Linked DNA regions of Macaca mulatta. The protein of the gene in region 3 purifies or fractionates together with the protein of the main gene of each other region. This does not show direct contact. Links are inferred from orthologs where the notes say so. Each region holds a gene or a part of one and is shown on either strand. Other genes may lie near its edges.

Region 1 (6,156 bases), on a different chromosome or scaffold from region 3:
AAAAAAAAGAAAAAAAAAACCTTTTAATTCTAACGGACCAAACTGTGCCCAGGAATGTCTCCAAACAATGGAACCAAAAGAAACACGATAAAATTCTCCTGCTAAAGAAACCAAGAGTTTGTGCCAGCCCCAGTGCTTCTGAGGGTTAGGCCAAAAACAGCCCATTCCTGAGGCCAGCCCTGTCCCCACGCAGGGTTCTCAGCCCGAGAATAGGATTGTGGGTGGGTGAGGGAACTGTCCCCTCTTCCACCATGCTGGGAGCTCTTAGAAAAAGTCACTGGTGGGAGATCCCCTCCTCCTACCCCATGGAAACCCTCTGGGCACCATCCAGAAAGCCAGCGAGGACAGGACAGCCCCGATACCCTCCTGGCCTTTCAGCAAATGCTCCACTCCAGTCCACTCAGCGGGCTGCTCCCAGAGCCCAAGGTGGGGATTAAATAAAATATGCATGAGAGATATGAACTCAAATGCCCCACCGTCTCCACGATGCAAGTCACATAGCAGAAGAAAAAAATGTAAGAGCCCTAGTGGCAAGCGCCGGCCCTCAGAAGACACGCTCAAACTCCGTCTGGTTGGTGGTGGCGGGATTGCGACTCTGGTTGGTGGACTGCTGGGTGATCTGGCTGCCCTTCCGGCGCGGTGGTGCCAGGTACTCGAACATGGACGTCAGGTGGGTGGAGAGCATGCCCTTGAGGTCAGAGGGCATGGGGTCGGACCAGAAGAAGTCATGGTTGAGGGCATCGTCGCTGTCGATGCGCTGGGCAGGGTCCAGCACCAGCAGCTTATCGATGAGGTCCAGTGCGTACGGGTCACGCACATAGGCCTTCAGCCTGTCCTTCACCTTCCGCTTCTGGCCCTTGACCAGCTCCAGCTTTTCATACAGCTCATAGTTGTCCACATTTGGCCACACCTGGGAGGGAGGGGGCGTTGACAGAGGATGAAGTCCGGCCAGGAGGTACGTGGCTTATCCCTTTGTTAAGGCCTAAAAGGACTAAAATACCTGCTCCACTTCGAGACTCCCAGACTACTACTGGAGAGAGAACTCGACCCCTCCCAAGAGAAGCAGTGCCCGCCACAGATTGGCACATACCACATGCCAGGCCCAACCCTGACATACGTCACATTTCTGGTTCACAGAAGAGAAACCCAGCGCTGACTCAGTTGTTCTGCCCAAGGCCACAGAATGGCTGATGGAACCAAGACTGGCGCATAGCCTGTGTGGCTCTCAAGGGCAGGCCCTGTCACCAAACCAGCCTCCCTTCCAGAGAGGAGCGCTCCCTCCATTCCACTCCCCACTCCTCTGCCGGGGGACCGGGACCCCGTACCTCAGGGGTGATGGAGCCGCAGAGCTGACTGATGAGGGCGAGTTGGTGCTGCTCCGTGTTGCCCTGCATGATGGGGCTGCGGGTCCACATCTCTGCCATGATGCACCCAGCACCCCACAGGTCAATGGGGGGGCCGTAGTCCCGCTCCCCTGGGAAGAAGAGCGCACCAGGAGGGCCCCTTGAGCCCGGAGGCCTCCTGAGACTCAATGCCCCAGGGCCGGCAGCTCAAGAAGCCCTGGCAGTGGGGGGGCGGGGGCCAGGTAGATGCCTGGCCCTCACCCCCCTCGGCCCGCTCGGGAGTCCTCACCGAGCAACAGCTCCGGGGGCCGGTACCAGAGTGTCACCACACGGTTGGTGTAGCGGTTGGGCTGGCTGTTCTTAGCCAGGCTGAAGGCCCGGGCCAGCCCAAAGTCTGCCAGCTTCAGGACCCCGTCACGAGTGATAAGCACGTTAGCAGCCTTCATGTCCCTATGCAGGATCTGCAAGAAGGGCAAGAGTGGCTCCTTCAGTGATATCCACCCGGTAGTGGGAGCCAAGGCCAGCCCAAGCCTGGGTCCTCCTCCCAGCTCTCGCCCCCACCTTGTTCCTGTGGATATAGTAGAGGCCGTTAAGGAGCATCTGCATCACCCTCTTGATCTCAGACAGCGTGAACTTGACCAAAACATTGCTCAACAGCCCAGCAAGGTCATGCTCGCAGAAGTCGAACACCAGGTATATACTGCCCTTGCAGCGGTTATAGGGTGAAGCTGAGGCAGGAATACAAGGAAGAAAAAGTCAAGAAAGCCACACCCAACACACTTTCCCACAACCAGTTTCTTTCTTCCTGCTCCAACCCATGGGCACCCAAGCCCTCCAGAGCATCTGTCTGTTCCTTCCTTCACTGGTCAAATATTTTCTGAGTGCCTCTTCTGGGCCAGGGCAGACCCCGAGGAAGCACCAGCTACGATGAAAGAGGACCAGAGAAAGCAGTCACCATGGGTCCATCTGAGTTAAGAGGAGGCAGTTTAGGTGGGTCTAGTTCCAACTTTACGAACAAAACCTTAGGCTACAAGTGTCATCTCCTCATAAGATCCAAACAACTTACCTTTGGTTCGACAAATCTCAATCAAGTTGACCACATTCTCATGTTTTAGAAGTTGAAGGATCTTGATCTCCCGCAAGGCGGTAATGGGGAACTGGGTGGGAGAGAGGGGAAAGTGGTCAAGAGTGAGCGCAGTACAGAGCCCAGCCCTGGGGTCTATATTGAGAGGCAAGATGGGAGACAGAGCAAGATCATGGGCTCTGAAACCAGCTGTCTCAGAAGCTCTGCCTGTAAAATGGATATAGTAGGAGCATGCACACTTCAAGGAGATGATTTGAGACAACAAACTGAAACAGCAATACTTTGCTATTAGCCACTAAATGCTCGGCGGTTTCAGCCTTCAAACTTCAGCTCTATGGCTGTTTCGTTGGCAACAAACATGACGATTCAAAAATGTCCTCGCTAAAGCACATCAGGAAAAGGAAGGTTTATGGGACGTTGTACTTGAGCTAAGATGGGGTGGAGGGACCGCTCCTTTTAAACACATTAAATAACTGAGTATTAGTCACTTTTCAAAAATTTGCATGCATATGTATCTTTCTTTAACATTAAGCAAAATTTAACACTAAAAAAAGGTGTTTAAAGGCTTCCTAACTTCGTGAACTAAAGTGCACACGATGCATGCATCAACTCCCCCTCCCGGTCTCACCCATAACTGCCTAAGAATGAAGCATTTAGTTTTAGGGTGGAGGCCAAATTCCCTGGAAATTTCTGAACTACTACGAAAAAAATTAAATCTCAACCTGAGACTCCTAGAAGCAGCAGGGTGGAAAACCGACCCGGGGTCCTGGGCAGTTAGACGGCTGGCCCGCACGCCCGATCCGTACTCACCCCCTCCTTCTCGTTTTCCATCAGCACCTTCTTCAGAGCCACCTTCTGGCCGGTCTTGCGGTGCCTGGCCTTAAACACCTCCCTGCAGGCGGAAAGGGAGACCCGAGAGCTCATCAGGCGATTTCCGCAGGGCCCGCCCCTCCCCCACTACAGGAGGAGGGGCAGCAGCAAAAAGATTCCCGGGCGGGGCTGGGGTAAGTACCCAGGGCACGCGGCTACCCCGCCACCCGGCACCCTGTCTCGTTCGGAGCTTCTGCTTCCTTCTCTCAGTCCCTTCTCCTCACTTGGGCGTCTCTTGGAGAGATCCCGTTCCCCTCACGGGCGCCTCTCTGCAGCCCCTCCCCGCCCCCACCACCGGCCTCAGGCTCCTCCCCACCAGCCGGCTCCTTCAGGCCGGGGCGGGGTGCGGCGCGGCCTAAAGACCAGTGGGCAAGCCCGGGGACAGACGGTTTCTCTACCAACTCGGGCGGGGCCCGGGGCATCCCGACGTCCGCCCTAGGGGTGCAGGCCCACGGCTCCCGGCCCCGAGGGGCCCAGCCTTACCCGAAGGTGCCTTGGCCGATCTTGGCGAGCTTCTCGTATTTGGAAACTTCATCACAAAAGGGGCACTCCACCGAGTCGTACTGCTTTGCCATGGCCGCCTCCAACGCGCCGCCGCCGCCCCCAGCCGCTGCTGCTGCCGCTCCCGCTCCGGGTCCCGCCGCCGCCGCGCTCCAGGCCCCTCCGCGGCCGCGCCACTTCCGCCTCCACGGCCACTTCCGGCCTCGCGGCGCCGACCCCGCCTCTTCCGCCCGCCGCCCGCCGCCAGGCCCCCTGGGACTTGTAGTTCCCGAGAGGCCAGGGGGAGCCGGAGCTGCAGAGGCGCCTCCGCCGCCGCCGCTGCCCCCGCCTCCGCCGCCGCCACTACTGGCGGCGGCCCCGATCGGGGGCGCGGGGAGCCGGGGCGCCGGAGCTGGGGCTCGGGGTGGCGCGTCCCGCTGCATGGGCCCGGGCCGCCGCTGCTGCCGAAGCTGCTGCCGCTCTGGCGCCCGATCCGGGGCCAGCCGCAGTGCCCTGCTCCTCCTCCTCCGACGGCGCCGCCTCCGCCGGGCTGCGCGGGGCGGCGGGCGGGGGGGCAGCCCCCGAGCCGCGGCCTGGGGGCTCCCTGGCCGGGCCCGGGCCCGGGGCGGCCGGGCGAGGGGGCGAGACGGGAAGAGCCGACTAGGAGACGGCCCGAGAGCCCGGGAGGGGGCGCGTTATAAAGGGGGAGGTGCCCGGCCTCGCCTTCCCCTCCTCCTCCGCCCGCCCCCGCCCTCCTCCCTCCCACCCTCCGCGGCCGCACCTGCCGCCGCCGCCACCGCCCGCCCGCCCGCCCGCCCGCTCGCTGTCCGCCGGCCGCCCTCGGCGCGTCACCGCCCGCGGCCCCTCCTCCGCCTTCGGAGGTGGGGCCCCGCGCTCGGCACCTGGCTGCGGGCGCCCAGCCGCGTGCCTCAGTTTACCCCCACATGCCGGCTGCCGCGGAGAGCCCCTTCCTCCCCGGCTCGGAGTGCCCCCCCAAGAGGCGAAGGCGGGAGGCGCGGAGGGAGCGTCCTCCGGCCCTGGGAGGAGAAAACGGCCCCCGCCTCCGCCTCCCCCGGTCCCCGCCACCCTCCGTTGACATGGCAACCGACGGCCGCCAGGGGGCGCGGCGGCACTGGAGGCGACGAGCAAGCAACGCCCGGGCCTTCTATCGCTGGAGCCTGGCTCTCCAGGAGGCAGGGATGGGACCCGCAGGACTCGCGCCTTCGCCGAGTCGCGCCAGAGCTGATCAGGCCCCGGGTCAATAATCGCAAAAAACAGCTACCATTTTCTCAGCACTCTTTGTGTGCTCAGGAAGTGCTGGGCGTTTCCGCCGAATCCTGAATCAACAGCCCCATAGTCAGGATCACTAACCCATTTTGCAGAAGAGGACATTGAGGCTCAGAGGTGAGGTCATTTGCCCAAGGTCACACGGCGACAAAGCTGGGTGTCTGACTGTGAAGGGGATTCTCTTGACTCAGGCTATCCGTGGTTGGGCCAGGAGGAGAGCACTGGGGAGGCTTGCTGTCCTTATGCAAGCGGGAGCTCACCACTCACCCCCCCATCTCCCTCCCCCATCGCGCCCATCCCTTCGCCTGCATCTTCCTGGCTCCAGCGGCCCCCAGATTCCCCCTCCAGCTCTGCCCAAGGACAGCCTCCGGCAAAGCCGTCTTTTCTGCCTCCTTTGCCCCGCTTCAATCTGCCCCCTCCTCTCCAGCCCTCTGCGGGTGGATCCTGAGACCTGGCCCCCCAGTCTGGCCTCTCTGTCCCCGAAGAACCTGAATGTGACATTGGAAGCTCTTTCCAGTTCACACCCCACCTCCCAGGCTGTGGCCATGCAAATCTCTCTACTGTCTCCCTAAGCCTTCCTGCTTTCAGGGCGGTTCTCCCCTGATTCCACACTCCCCTAGACTCTGGATGCCCTCTCTTCCTGCAAGAAGCCCTTGGGGTGGGCGCGGTGGCTCACGCCTGTAATCCCAGCACTTTGGGAGGCCGAGGCAGGCAGATCACAAGGTGAGGAGTTCGAGACCAGCCTGGCCAATATGTTGAAACCCCATCTCTACTAAAAATACAAAACTTAGCCGGGCGTGGTGTTGGGTGCCTGTAGTCCCAGCTACTCAGGAGGCTGAAGCAGGAGAATCGCCTGAACCCAGGAGGTGGAGGTTGCAGTAAGCCGAGGTCTTGCCACTGCACTCCAGCCTGGTGACAGAGTGAGACTCCGTCTCAAAAAAAAACCCTCGGGGTGGCTCCCAGCTCTCACCCCACACTGCTTAGCCTCAAAGCCTCCTAGGAGGAGGCTGGAATGGCTTTGATGACCTTGATGTCACAAGAGGTCCTGTTCTGGGTAAGGGCATTACCAGGGAGGGGCTGGAAAGTCAGGCT
Region 2 (6,143 bases), on a different chromosome or scaffold from region 3:
CCAGGATGGTCTTGATCGCCTGATCTTGTGATCCGCCTGTCTCGGCCTCCCAAAGTGCTGGGATTATAGGCTTGAGCCACCACGCCTGGCCAGAAATATCAGTATTTAAGGAGGGCTTGAAAATAGTGATCTAACATTTACATGGAGAAGGAGCAAAGAGAATACTACATAGTAGGAGCAAAAAGAAAAATATTTTTACCTTTATATTGGGCACTTACAGTCCAGACACTGTTTCATTTAATCTTCACAAAATCTCTGTGAGGTAGGTATTACCTCTATTTTACATGAAAAAGAATAAAAACTGAGACTCAGAAAATTGAAGATTGTGGAGCCTGGGGTCAACAGGCTTAGGCTTTTTAAAAATTTGAAGGCTGGTCGAGGTGGCTCACGCCTGTAATCACAGCACTTTGGGAGGCTGAGATCAGGAGTTGGAGAGCAGCTTAACCAACATGGTGAAACCCTGTCTCTACTAAAATAGAAAAAAATAGCCAGGCATGGTGGCACGCACCTGTAATGCCAGCTACTTGGGAGGCTGAGGCAGTAGAATTGCTTAAACCCGGGCAGTAGAGGTTGCAGTGAGCTGAGATCACGCCATTGCACTCCAGCCTGGGTGACAGGAGTGAAACTCTTGTCTCAACAACAAAAAACAACTCAAATTACTCATGGCCCTGGGAATGGGGGCATTTAAAAAGTTAACAAAGGGAACCAACCTGGTTTCCACAAAGATGGCCACTTCCGGGTCAGCCCAATCATCAGTATCCCTGGGTCCTCAGTATCCCTTCCTCTTTTGAGTGGGAATTATGAGATTACAGCCCCACCTATGGAAATTGAGCACACTAGCACTGGCCATGCTGTACATACGTCAAATGAGAGGGCTTCATACTGTTATAACAATCTGTACCACAATTCTCTGTGCGGTCTGCCCAGCTCTAAATGACATGTCCTCAGAGGCGCCATCATCTCCAAGTCCATGGAAACCACGCACTTACAGAAACCAGAACCTCCCATACCACATGTTACTAATGACCTACAACATCGACTTGGTCTGTATCATGCAGTGCTCAACATTCTGGTTGCAGCATCACATTTCTCAAGAATTTGATTCCATGCTGACTCCTTTACTTGGAGTATTGAGATTCCCCAGGTACAGTGAAAGTATGAGCCTCTCAAATGGAAGACCAGAAGCTGGTTGTCCTATGCTATGTCAATCCGCCACCCGGAAGCACTTGCTGCACCAACAGCATTCCCAAAGCTTGCCTCTGCAGCCCTGCAGCACCCATTAGAAACACTTCTCACAATGAACTGCTGTGCTGGCAGAGCCCTAACTGGACTGCTGGACAGCAAGCTCTGTGAGGCATCTAGGAAAAAAGTTCCCGAAATCCCGAGAAACATTCTTCACTCCGGAATAGCGTCACATCATTGAGTCATTTGGGATGACGGGGCATATCATGGAGCAGGTGTATTGGGAAGTCAGTGAACAGTAAGGCTAATTCATTAGTGGGCCTGCTGGCGTAGTATTTTTCCAGTTCCGCAGCCTTTAAATCATTGGTGGTCTTTAGCGTGCCGGATCAGCGGGTGGTGGAGTTGGAGGATAGATGGCAGGGATCTGAAGAAAGGTGAAGTGTAGACGAGTGGAGACAATGTGAAGTTTAGAAAAGACTAATTGCCGGGCGTGGTGGCTCACGTCTATAATCCCAGAACTTTGGGTTGCCGAGGTGGGAGGACTGCTTGAGGCCAGGAGTTCGGGACCAGCCTGGGCAACGTAGCAAGACCATGTCTCTACAAAAAACAAAAAAACCAAGCGAGGTGGTGCGCGCCTGCAATCCCAACTACTCGGGAGGTGGGAAGATCGCTCAATTCCGGGAGGTCGAGGCAGCAGTGAGCCGTGATCATGCCACTGCACTCCAGCCTGGGCAACGGAGCAAGACCCCATCTTAATTAAAAATATATATTTAATACAGGAGAGACTGGACTGCTTTGAAAAGTGAATTTGATGGGAATGCGAGGTTTGGAGAGATGTTATGTTTTCCAAGACTTGAAAAACATTGTGGTTCCGTTCAGCCCTCCCAGAAAATACCTAGGGGACCTAAAGAGCGGACCGAGTACCTGTTCGTTTCCCCACCCCTTAGCCGGCAGGGCTCCGGCGGCGCCCTGGGAAAACGTAGGGAAGGGCCGTTCTCGCAGCGGTTACCGGAAGTGACGCATTCATTCTCGCGAGAAGGAAGACGCGCGAGCGTCGGCGGCCCGGAACCGGCCTTGGAACAGCGGCGGAGCCTGAGGCCGCTTGCCCTCCCGCCCCATGGAGCGGCCCCCGGGGCTGCGGCCGGGCGCGGGCGGGCCCTGGGAGATGCGGGAGCGGTTGGGCACCGGCGGCTTCGGGAACGTCTGTCTGTACCAGCATCGGGTGAGGCGGGGCGCGAGAGGGAGCGGCGGTGGGTTTGAGCGTCTGTGGAACACAGGGCTGACAGTGTGGGATAGATGGTTAGTGGGACCTTGGGCAGTATTTGTGGGCCAGTAGGCTTGTGTGTGTGTATGAGAGAGAAAGATACTCTGCCTGTGTGTGTCCAAAGTTGTATCTGAGGTACTGGGCATAGATAGAGCTGTTGCGGGGAACTTGGGTATGACTGTCAGGCTGTGACCAGGTGTTTAGTGAGTGTGACAGTGCGCGTGTGTCTCTGTGAATGTAGAGTGTCAGGGTGTGTGAGGCAGATGCACGTCACAGTGTGTATGTGTGAGCACGAATGTGTGAGAAGAGGGTTGAAGGAGACTGCCTGTTGGAATGTGTGCGTCCGTGTGTTTGGGTCCGTGTGTGCGCGCGCTTGCTTGGAGGCCGTGTGATATCAGTGGGGACTGCAGTAGACAAGGAAGGCTTCATGATGGGTCCAGAGTTAAACCTTTGGAAGTATGGATGGGCTTTGGAATTGGGGATGTATTCCAGGTCGGGACAGTATGAGGGTAAGTTGGTGCAGATCATGGCTTCAAACGGAAGGCGATATTAATAGATTGGAGATGGGGGGCGCTCCAGTCAGTGGAGGACAGTTAACATCAGACTCAAGAATTTTACTTTGATTTAATAGAGAATGTTTAACCATTGTAACAGCAGTTTAAAAAATAATATTTGGGTCATGTTTGTGTGTTTGTTAGTTTTTGTTTTCGAGACGGAGTCTCACTCTGTTGCCCAGGCTGGAATGTAGTGGCGCGATCTCGGGTCACTGTAGCCTCCTCCTGGGTTCAAGCGATTCTCCTGCCTCAGCCTCCTGAGTAGCTGGGATTACAGGCGCCCGCCACCGCGCTGGGCTAATTTTTTGTATTTTTAGTAGAGACAGGGTTTCACCATGTTGGCCAGGCTGGTCTCGAACTCCTGACCTCAGGTGATCCACCTGTCTCAGCCTCCCAAAGTGCAGGGATTATAGGCGTGAGCCACTGCGTCAGGCCTGGGACATGTATTTTTTGTTATAAAAAATGATAATCAATAAAAGCTGTGAACCCTTTCCCCAGAAAAATGCACAGATGCACATCCACGCAACCATGCATTGCCATTTGAGAGGTTCATGCTTTCCTAAAGGACATTTTAGGTAAATAGACCCCGGACTAACACTTCCTGTAATACAGGCTTTGTTTTGTTCCCTATAAAATAGGTATAGTATAATACTTGCATGCATCATGGGTTTGAGAGTTAAATAAAATAATAATGTATGTAAAGCTAAATACAGTACCTGACCCATGAAAGCCCTCAACTGTTAGCACCTGCTGCTACTTTGTTGTTGCTGCTATGATCATAATGCTCCTCATTAATTGGCCTTAAACAAGGAAATGTCAAGATTAAAAGTGTTGTTCTAGGAAAATGGTTTTGTGAAGGATAAATTTGAGTGGAACAACATGTGGGACAAGATGAACAGTTAAGATTTTACTAAAATGCCTGGGCTTGGATTGTGAATAGAGAAATGAATTCAAGAGGAAAAGTAATAATTTGTTATCTAAAGGAACATGGGTGTAGTGAGAAAGCTCATAATTTGGGGTGGGAGAAAGGGGAGATAGGTGTCTACTTTGGAGAAATAGGCATGTTTAGGGTAATTAGAATGACAACTGAAACTGATAGAACTGAGGAAGTTTTGTGAACCAGGTTTCTAGATAGGGTGTGGGAGAAAATCTTGGAGAAAGAGAATGGAAGGTGAAGGACTAAGGCATTAAATCCTATGATAGCAGGATAAGTAGTAAATTTAATAATTCTCACCATCAGAGGGAATATAACACACTAAAAAAAAAAGTGGGAGCCAAGTGCTTCCAGTGGCATGTTGCCTGTGTTACCTAAGCCTGCCTATAGACTGATCATAAGGAAAAAGGATGCATGCTGGCAGCTTTTGTGACTTCTTTTTTTGGTCCCTGGGTGGGGATGGATGAATTCATCACTTTTTGTTTTATTATGGTAAAGTATACATAACAACATTTATCACTTTATTTTTAAGTGTACAGTTAGGTAGCATTAAGTATATTGACGTTGTACAGCCGTCACCCTATCCCCAGAATATTCCAGCTTTTTAAGCACATAACTTTGTTGTTGTTGTACATCTATAAACTGCCCATAGAACATTCTTTGCAAAAAGGTAGAATTTCACAGAGTGGATGAAATATAAATTAAGGAGTTGAAGGATCTTACAAAGTGGGATTTTTGAAATAGATAACTTACTGCTCCATCAACATGAGCATTTAGGACTCAGTGCTGTTCATAGCTGTGCCTGATTCTCATCTCCATGGTGGTAAAGGTCTGCATGGGACATAGATATAACTGGCCACCTGCTCATAACAAAAGGAAGACTGAAGGGAGTGAGACCTGTGGGTAGGCTAGCTTGTAGTCTGTCCTATTTTCCTTCTTCTCTATGCACCAAGTATCATCTTATCTCTAGCCTTTTTTTCCTCTCAGCCCCCAATTCACACTACCCTATCCAAGCTGTGTCTTCCTTCCCCACCTATAATATATTTTTTTCTGTCCTGGCCCCTCTCTTTATTCATACACAGCCTTTATTACAACTCTGGTTTGTGTCAGAGATTACGTATGTTGGAAATTCTTTTGAACTCTCTTTGTGATATCAGAAACATAGTGTAGCCTGTTTTGCCCTGGCTGCTGTTTCTGAGCTGCATTATTAGTGTTGCCAGAATATGATGGGATCTGGCTATTTCCTGTAATGTGCATCAGAATGGGTTTAATTTCAGTCAGAATTGGCTAAATTACTAGTCACAGGCCAGAGATGTTAGGTTCATTGTGTAGATATGGAAACAGAAGTACACTCATTGGTAGGATTTTTTTCCTTCATGTCATTTGAAATGCATACATTAAGATTGGAGTTTTTTGCTTTAGGCTTGGTTATATTAAAACTTTCTCTTGCTGTTTGGAGTCCAGGAAGCCCTGAATTACCTTCTTCATTCTAGTTATGCTGGGAGCTGGGGCCCATGTTAGTTGTCTTGATTAAGCTCTGAATGGAATTTGCTGCGGAGACAGGATCTTTTTTTTTCTGACATTACACATGAGAGAGAGTTCCAAAGAGACCTGTTATAAAATCAGTTTCAGTCACTTTTCCCTTGTGTGCTGTTATGTGTTCGAAGGTCAGTTTTAAAGCATTGGTGTAATAGTCTCATGGTTTATCTTTTTAAAAAAGCGTTGCTTCAAGAGAGCTGTGGATAAATATATTTAATTAGTAAAGCTAAAAAGTTTTGTTTTAGGTTATTTCTTTGGTAGCAAATAAATCTGCACAAGAACCTAATTTTTTTTTTTTTCTGCTGATTTTCTATTTTGGCAGGAACTTGATCTCAAAATAGCAATTAAGTCTTGTCGCCTAGAGCTAAGTACCAAAAACAGAGAACGATGGTGCCACGAAATCCAGATTATGAAGAAGTAAGTGTACTCCTTGACTTATATTCCCCTGGTTCTACAGCCCAACCAGATGTCATCATCGGGAAAGAGACCAGGAATCCACTCTTCTCAGGATCTTTTTGGGAACATGTATTTTTTTCTCTCATTAAATATATTATGTTTCAAATAACATCACATTAGGATTAAGAAGGTTTAGTTAAAATCAGCTAGGACACTTACACACTGTTGGTAGGAATGTAAAATTGTGCAGCTGTTATGGAAAGCAGTATGGTGA
Region 3 (5,377 bases):
ACTCAGATGCTGAGGTGGGAGGATCACTTGAGCCAGGAGTTCGAATCCAGCCTGAGCAACATAGCAAGACCTTGTCTCTTAAAAATGAAAAAAAACTGGGCTGATGCAATGGCTCACACCTGTAATCCCAGCACTTTGGAAAGCTGAAGCAGGAGTATCACTTCAGGCTAGGAGTTCAAGACCAACCTGGGCAATGTAGCAAGACTCCATATCTACAGAAAAATTTAAAATCATGGTGGTATTCACCTGTAGTCCTAGCTACTAGGGAAGCTGAGGCAGGAGGTTCTTTTGAGCCCAGGAGTTCAAGACCAGCCTGGGCAACATGGTGAGACTCTGTCTACAAAAAAAATAAAGAAGAAGAAAATTAGCCCAATGTGGTGGCACATGTCTGAGGTCCCAGCTACTTGGAAGGCTAAGGTGGGAGGACTGCTTGAGCCTGGGAGGTTGAGGATGCAGTAAGCGATACTCATACCACTGCACTCCAGTCTGTGTGACAGAGCAAGACCCTGTCTCTTAAAAAAAAAAAAAAGCCATTTTATAAAGACAGTTGGGCAATAACTATCAAATTTAAAATGCATATCACCTTTGCACTTCCAGGAATTTACCCTCCAAATATACTTATGCAAAGTAGGCAAACATAAATGGACAAGTAGTCTCATTAGATTATTGTTGGTAATATATGCATCAATAGGAGATTGTTGTATTATACACCCAATAATGTTTTTCCTTTATCAAATACATATTATGTGCCAGGCACCATGCCGTGCATTTGATGTGTTTTGTCTAATAATTCTTAAAACAACTGAAAACATATGGCAAGTACTGTTATTATCTACATTTTGCAGGTGAGGAGACTGCAGCACAGAGATTAAGTAACTTGCACAAGTTTACACAGATAGTAAAAGGCAAACTTGGTATTTAAATCCAGGTAGTCTGAGGTTAGAGTATGCTGCATTTTTGACCTCTAAAATGTACATCCTCCTTTCTACTGTTGGAGAAAGAGGATGAAGATATATATTAAATGAAAAAGTAGTTTAGAACTGAATGTCTAGGTCACTGTCATTTGTGTTTTAAATTTTTTTAAAAAGGTACAGCACACAGTAGGATACCAAAGAAACAAAACAGTGACTTATAAGGAACAAATGGATGGCCTTTCTGCTTTGACTTTCCATCTCTTTCATGGGTGTTTTAATAATAGGCATGTATTACTTGAATAATTTTTTTTTTTTTTTTGTAAGAGACAGGGTCTCGCTGTGTCACCTAGGCTGGAGTGCAGTGACATAATCATTGCTCACTGTAGCCTCTTACTCGTGGGCTCAAGCTATTCTCCTGTCTTAACCTCCAAAGTATCTGGAACTACAAGCATGTGCCACCATGCTGCACTAATTTTTTAAATTTTTGTAGAGAAGGAGTTTCACTGTGTTGCCCTGGCCGGTCTTAAAACTCTTGGGCTCAAGTGGATGCTCCCACTTGGCCTCCCAAAATGCTGAGATTACAGGTATGAGCCACTGTTCCTGGCCACTTAACATATATTTTTAACTGAAATAAATGTAGCTTACATTTGGAAAAGTTGTAATATTTAATGAAGATTAAGCTAAAATCATGAATGACAAATGGTTTATCCATCCCTGCTTACATACGGTTATGTAGGGTTTCACTTGTCCTAATATCCTACCACCAGCTCACTTCAAATTCACTTCCTCTGGGGTTCATCTCTTATCTGATCCCACTTTGAATACTTACATTTTTGTTTTTGTTTTTTGAGACAGGACAGGGTCTCACTCTGCTGCCCAGGCTGGAGTGCAGTGGCATGATCTCAGCTCACTGAAACCTCGACCTCCTGGGCTCAAGCAATCCTCCCTCTTCAGCCTCCTGAGTAGCTGGCAAGCACCACCACGCCTGGCTCATTTTTTCAATATTTTTTTGTGGAGATGGGGTTTCACCATGTTGCCTGGGCTGGTCTCAAACTCCTGAGCTCAAGAGATCTGCCCACCTTGGCCTCCCAAAGTGCTGGGATTACAGGCGTGAGCCAACGTGCCCAACCCCCAGATACTTAATGTTTTTGATTAACAAAGTACCTCATTTGTAATGTAGCCTTTTTTTTTTTTTTTTTTTTTTTTTTGGGACAGTGTCTTGCCGTGTTGCCCAGGCTGGAGTGCAGTGGCATGATCTCTACTCACTGCAACCTCTGCCTTCCAGGTTCAAGTGATTCTCCTCCCTCAGCCTCCCAAGTAGTTGGGATTACAGGCACATACCACCATGCCTGGCTAATTTTTGTATTTTTAGTAGAGACGGGGTTTCACCATGTTGGCCAGGCTGGTCTTGAACTCCTGGCCTCAAGTGATCCACCCGCCTTGGCCTCCTAAAGTGCCAGGATTACAGGCGTGAGCCACTATGCCCCACCAAAATGTAATTAGCCTTTTAAATTGCCTGAATTTTCTATTGTTTCCCAAAGGACTTGATACTGCTTACAGTAAGATAATGATGCACATCATAGGAACTGTAAACATTGAGATTACAATTATATAGCCTAATATAGTCCTACAATTGAGCAGTAAATTTAACTTAGTTTCCTGGAAGTAGGCAAAAAATAAAACATTTTAAGTTCTGTAGTTGTGGTTTGACAAAAAGACACATACGTTTTTGTTTAAAGAAACCTTTTTCTGATTCTAAATTTCGAGAAGAAATGTGTTTCATAGACCCTTTTATGCAATTTATATTGTTCTGGTTACTTCTTGTTTTGTTTTGTTTTGTTTTTGTCTACCCAACTAAATTACAAGCTTCCTTAGGACAAACTCTATTTTTCAATACTATTTTTGTTCTATCTTTGCCTAGAAAATGTGTGCTTATTATAGTTGAAATGATAAATTAAGCAACAGTTGCAACACAGCCATATTTCATGGATAATGTTACCACCAGTTTTCAAAGACTTAATTTTTGAGTAGTTTAGGAATTTATACTACTTTCATCCCTTTCAGCAGGGAATCCTTTTTGAGACAGGTCTCACTGTCACCCAGCCTAGAGTGCAGTGGCATAATCTTGACTCACTGAAGCCTCAACCTCCTGGGCTCCCGGGCTTAAGCAGTCCTCCCACCACAGCCTCTGGAGTAGCTGGGACTATAGGTGTGCACCACTATACCCAGCTGTGTTCCTTGGGGGTTTTTTTTGTTGTTTTTTTTTAAGAGATGAGGTCTTGCTATGTTGCCCAGGCTGGTCTCAAACTCCTGGACTCAAGCGATCCTCCCACATCAGCCTCCCAAAGTGCTGGGCCGATCAACAGGGAATCTTTTATGATAGCCTTGAAATAAATAAATATTTATTTATTTGTATGTAGCACTCGGTCATCTTGTAGCCCATACTTTCTAGCTGAATATGTAGTATGAAAAACTGGAAATTTGAACTTTTGTTTAATGAAAGTTAAATATTTTTAAATAGGGCTGATAGCTTTCAACTACCTTTTCCTTTCTCTTAGGCCAAGTTATCAAGGCATGGGACATTGGGGTGGCTACCATGAAGAAAGGAGAGATATGCCATTTACTGTGCAAACCAGAATATGCATATGGCTCAGCTGGCAGTCTCCCTAAAATTCCCTCGAATGCAACTCTCTTTTTTGAGGCAAGTATGTGTGTGATGTTGCCTTGTCAGCATCTGCTCTACAATAGGAATGGCTTTGAAGCAACAGGCAGTGGGAAAAGGAGCTATAGAGAATCACATCCAACTTACTTATTTTGGAGCATGGCTTCTTGGATTGTTTCCCACAAACCCAAGGGTGCACGTGCCAGTGCTTTTTGAGAAACGTATTTCCACCACAAAAAGGTCATATCCAAATACGCAAAAGACACTACACTTAGAAATAAAGAATCTGGTCCATGGTGTGAGTGTGACATACTCAAAATTGACCAGAATGCAGGATGGAAATGTTGGCAATAAATGTTGAAATATGCCTATGTCAAGTTGCAGGGTATTTTCATATTATAAAGGTTTATATGTCACAGATCTCACTTCTCTAGAAGTGTTTGATGGTGATAAAACATTATTCAACCTGTGTTGAAATTACATATATTTGGCAAAACTTGATTTTTAAGAACTACCCCAGCTAGGTAAAATATACCTTTAATCAGTCATAGGCCACATTCATGAAATTTATGTTTACATTTTGAGAAGGGAACTCCATAAATCCAGGGTGGGAAAGTTGTGGCCTCAGACAAACTGTTCTACACCAGCACCTTGTAAAGCTCTGGGTTTTTGCCCACAGGGTAGTGTTCCTAGTATTTCCTGTCTCTGCACCGCAGTCCCTTAGGATATAGTCCTAGACATTATCATTATGTGAAATTCTTTCCAAGTATGGAAAAGTATAGTGGGTTTTTTTTTTTTTTTTTTTGCTACTTTTCCAATAATTAAGATGCATAAATGAATGTATACATTTTGAAACAGCTTTATTTTGTAAAATGAAATAATTGGTTGCCCTTGCCTTCACATATGTTAAATTGGCTTTATTTGGTCTTTTCTCATCTGAATTCCTTTTTTCTTTCTAGATTGAGCTCCTTGATTTCAAAGGAGAGGACTTATTTGAAGATGGAGGCATTATCCGGAGAACCAAACGGAAAGGAGAGGGATATTCAAATCCAAACGAAGGAGCAACAGTAGAAAGTAAGTATTAAAGTAAGAGGGAACTAGTCCTTAAAAGTTGGACCATTTATGTGGACGAAATGGAGACTTAAAAAAAATATGTTTATGGAAATGAACATATCGGCTGGGCGTGGTGACTCACGCCTTTAATCCCAGCACTTTGGGAGGTGGAGGCGGGCGGATTGCCTGAGCTCAGGAGTTTGAGACCAGCCTGGCCAGCATGGCGAAACCCCATCTCTACTAAAAATACAAAAAACTAGCCAGACGTGGTGGTGCATGCCTGTAATCCCAGCTCCTTGGGAGACTGATGCACAAGAATCACTTGAACCGGGGAGGTGGGGGTTGCAGTGAGCCAAGATGGTGCTACTGCACTCCAGCCTGGGTGACAGAGCGAGACTCTGCCTCAGAAAAAAAAAAAGTATTGAATATATCTCAAAGATAGTCTTAGCTGGGCACAGTGGCTCACGCCTGTAATTCCAGCACTTTGGGAGGCTAAGGCAGGAGGATCTCTTGAGCTTAGGAATGCGGCACCAGCCAGGGCAACATAGTGAGGCCCCATCTCTACTAAAAAGCATCAAGAGAATTAGTCAAGTGTGGTGACACATCCCTGTAGTCCCAGCTACTTGGGAGGCTGAGGTGGAAGAATCACTTGAGCTCTGGAGATCAACGCTACAGCAGAGAGCCGTGATTGTGCCATTGGCTCCGGCCTGGACAACAGCAAGATTCTGTGGGGAAAAAAAAAAAAAAA

Evidence for each region. The genes of interacting proteins can lie anywhere in the genome.
Region 1: the proteins of FKBP5 (region 3) and CDK9 purify together in Homo sapiens (affinity purification with mass spectrometry; 10 studies listed by BioGRID and IntAct, counting the BioPlex papers as one, with this or other methods). This does not show direct contact. The link is inferred for Macaca mulatta from reciprocal best matches to the Homo sapiens genes FKBP5 and CDK9.
Region 2: the proteins of FKBP5 (region 3) and CHUK purify together in Homo sapiens (co-immunoprecipitation; 4 studies listed by BioGRID and IntAct, with this or other methods). This does not show direct contact. The link is inferred for Macaca mulatta from reciprocal best matches to the Homo sapiens genes FKBP5 and CHUK.

Annotation. Positions count from the first base shown.
Region 1 is NC_133420.1:19,919,544-19,925,699, forward strand, and holds the start of CDK9 (cyclin-dependent kinase 9), read right to left. Parts: upstream 3,921-6,156; 5' UTR 3,873-3,920; coding exon 3,781-3,872; intron 3,320-3,780; coding exon 3,238-3,319; intron 2,501-3,237; coding exon 2,410-2,500; intron 2,072-2,409; coding exon 1,905-2,071; intron 1,805-1,904; coding exon 1,633-1,804; intron 1,475-1,632; coding exon 1,326-1,474; intron 911-1,325; coding exon 545-910; 3' UTR 1-544. UniProt on the Homo sapiens protein: Protein kinase involved in the regulation of transcription.
Region 2 is NC_133414.1:112,276,295-112,282,437, reverse strand, and holds the start of CHUK (inhibitor of nuclear factor kappa-B kinase subunit alpha), read left to right. Parts: upstream 1-2,223; 5' UTR 2,224-2,299; coding exon 2,300-2,404; intron 2,405-2,754; exon of another isoform or gene 2,755-2,904; coding exon of another isoform or gene 2,905-2,955; intron 2,956-5,795; coding exon 5,796-5,890; intron 5,891-6,143.
Region 3 is NC_133409.1:146,648,298-146,653,674, forward strand, and holds part of FKBP5 (peptidyl-prolyl cis-trans isomerase FKBP5), read left to right. Parts: intron 1-3,472; coding exon 3,473-3,615; intron 3,616-4,535; coding exon 4,536-4,650; intron 4,651-5,377. UniProt on the Homo sapiens protein: Immunophilin protein with PPIase and co-chaperone activities. Component of unligated steroid receptors heterocomplexes through interaction with heat-shock protein 90 (HSP90).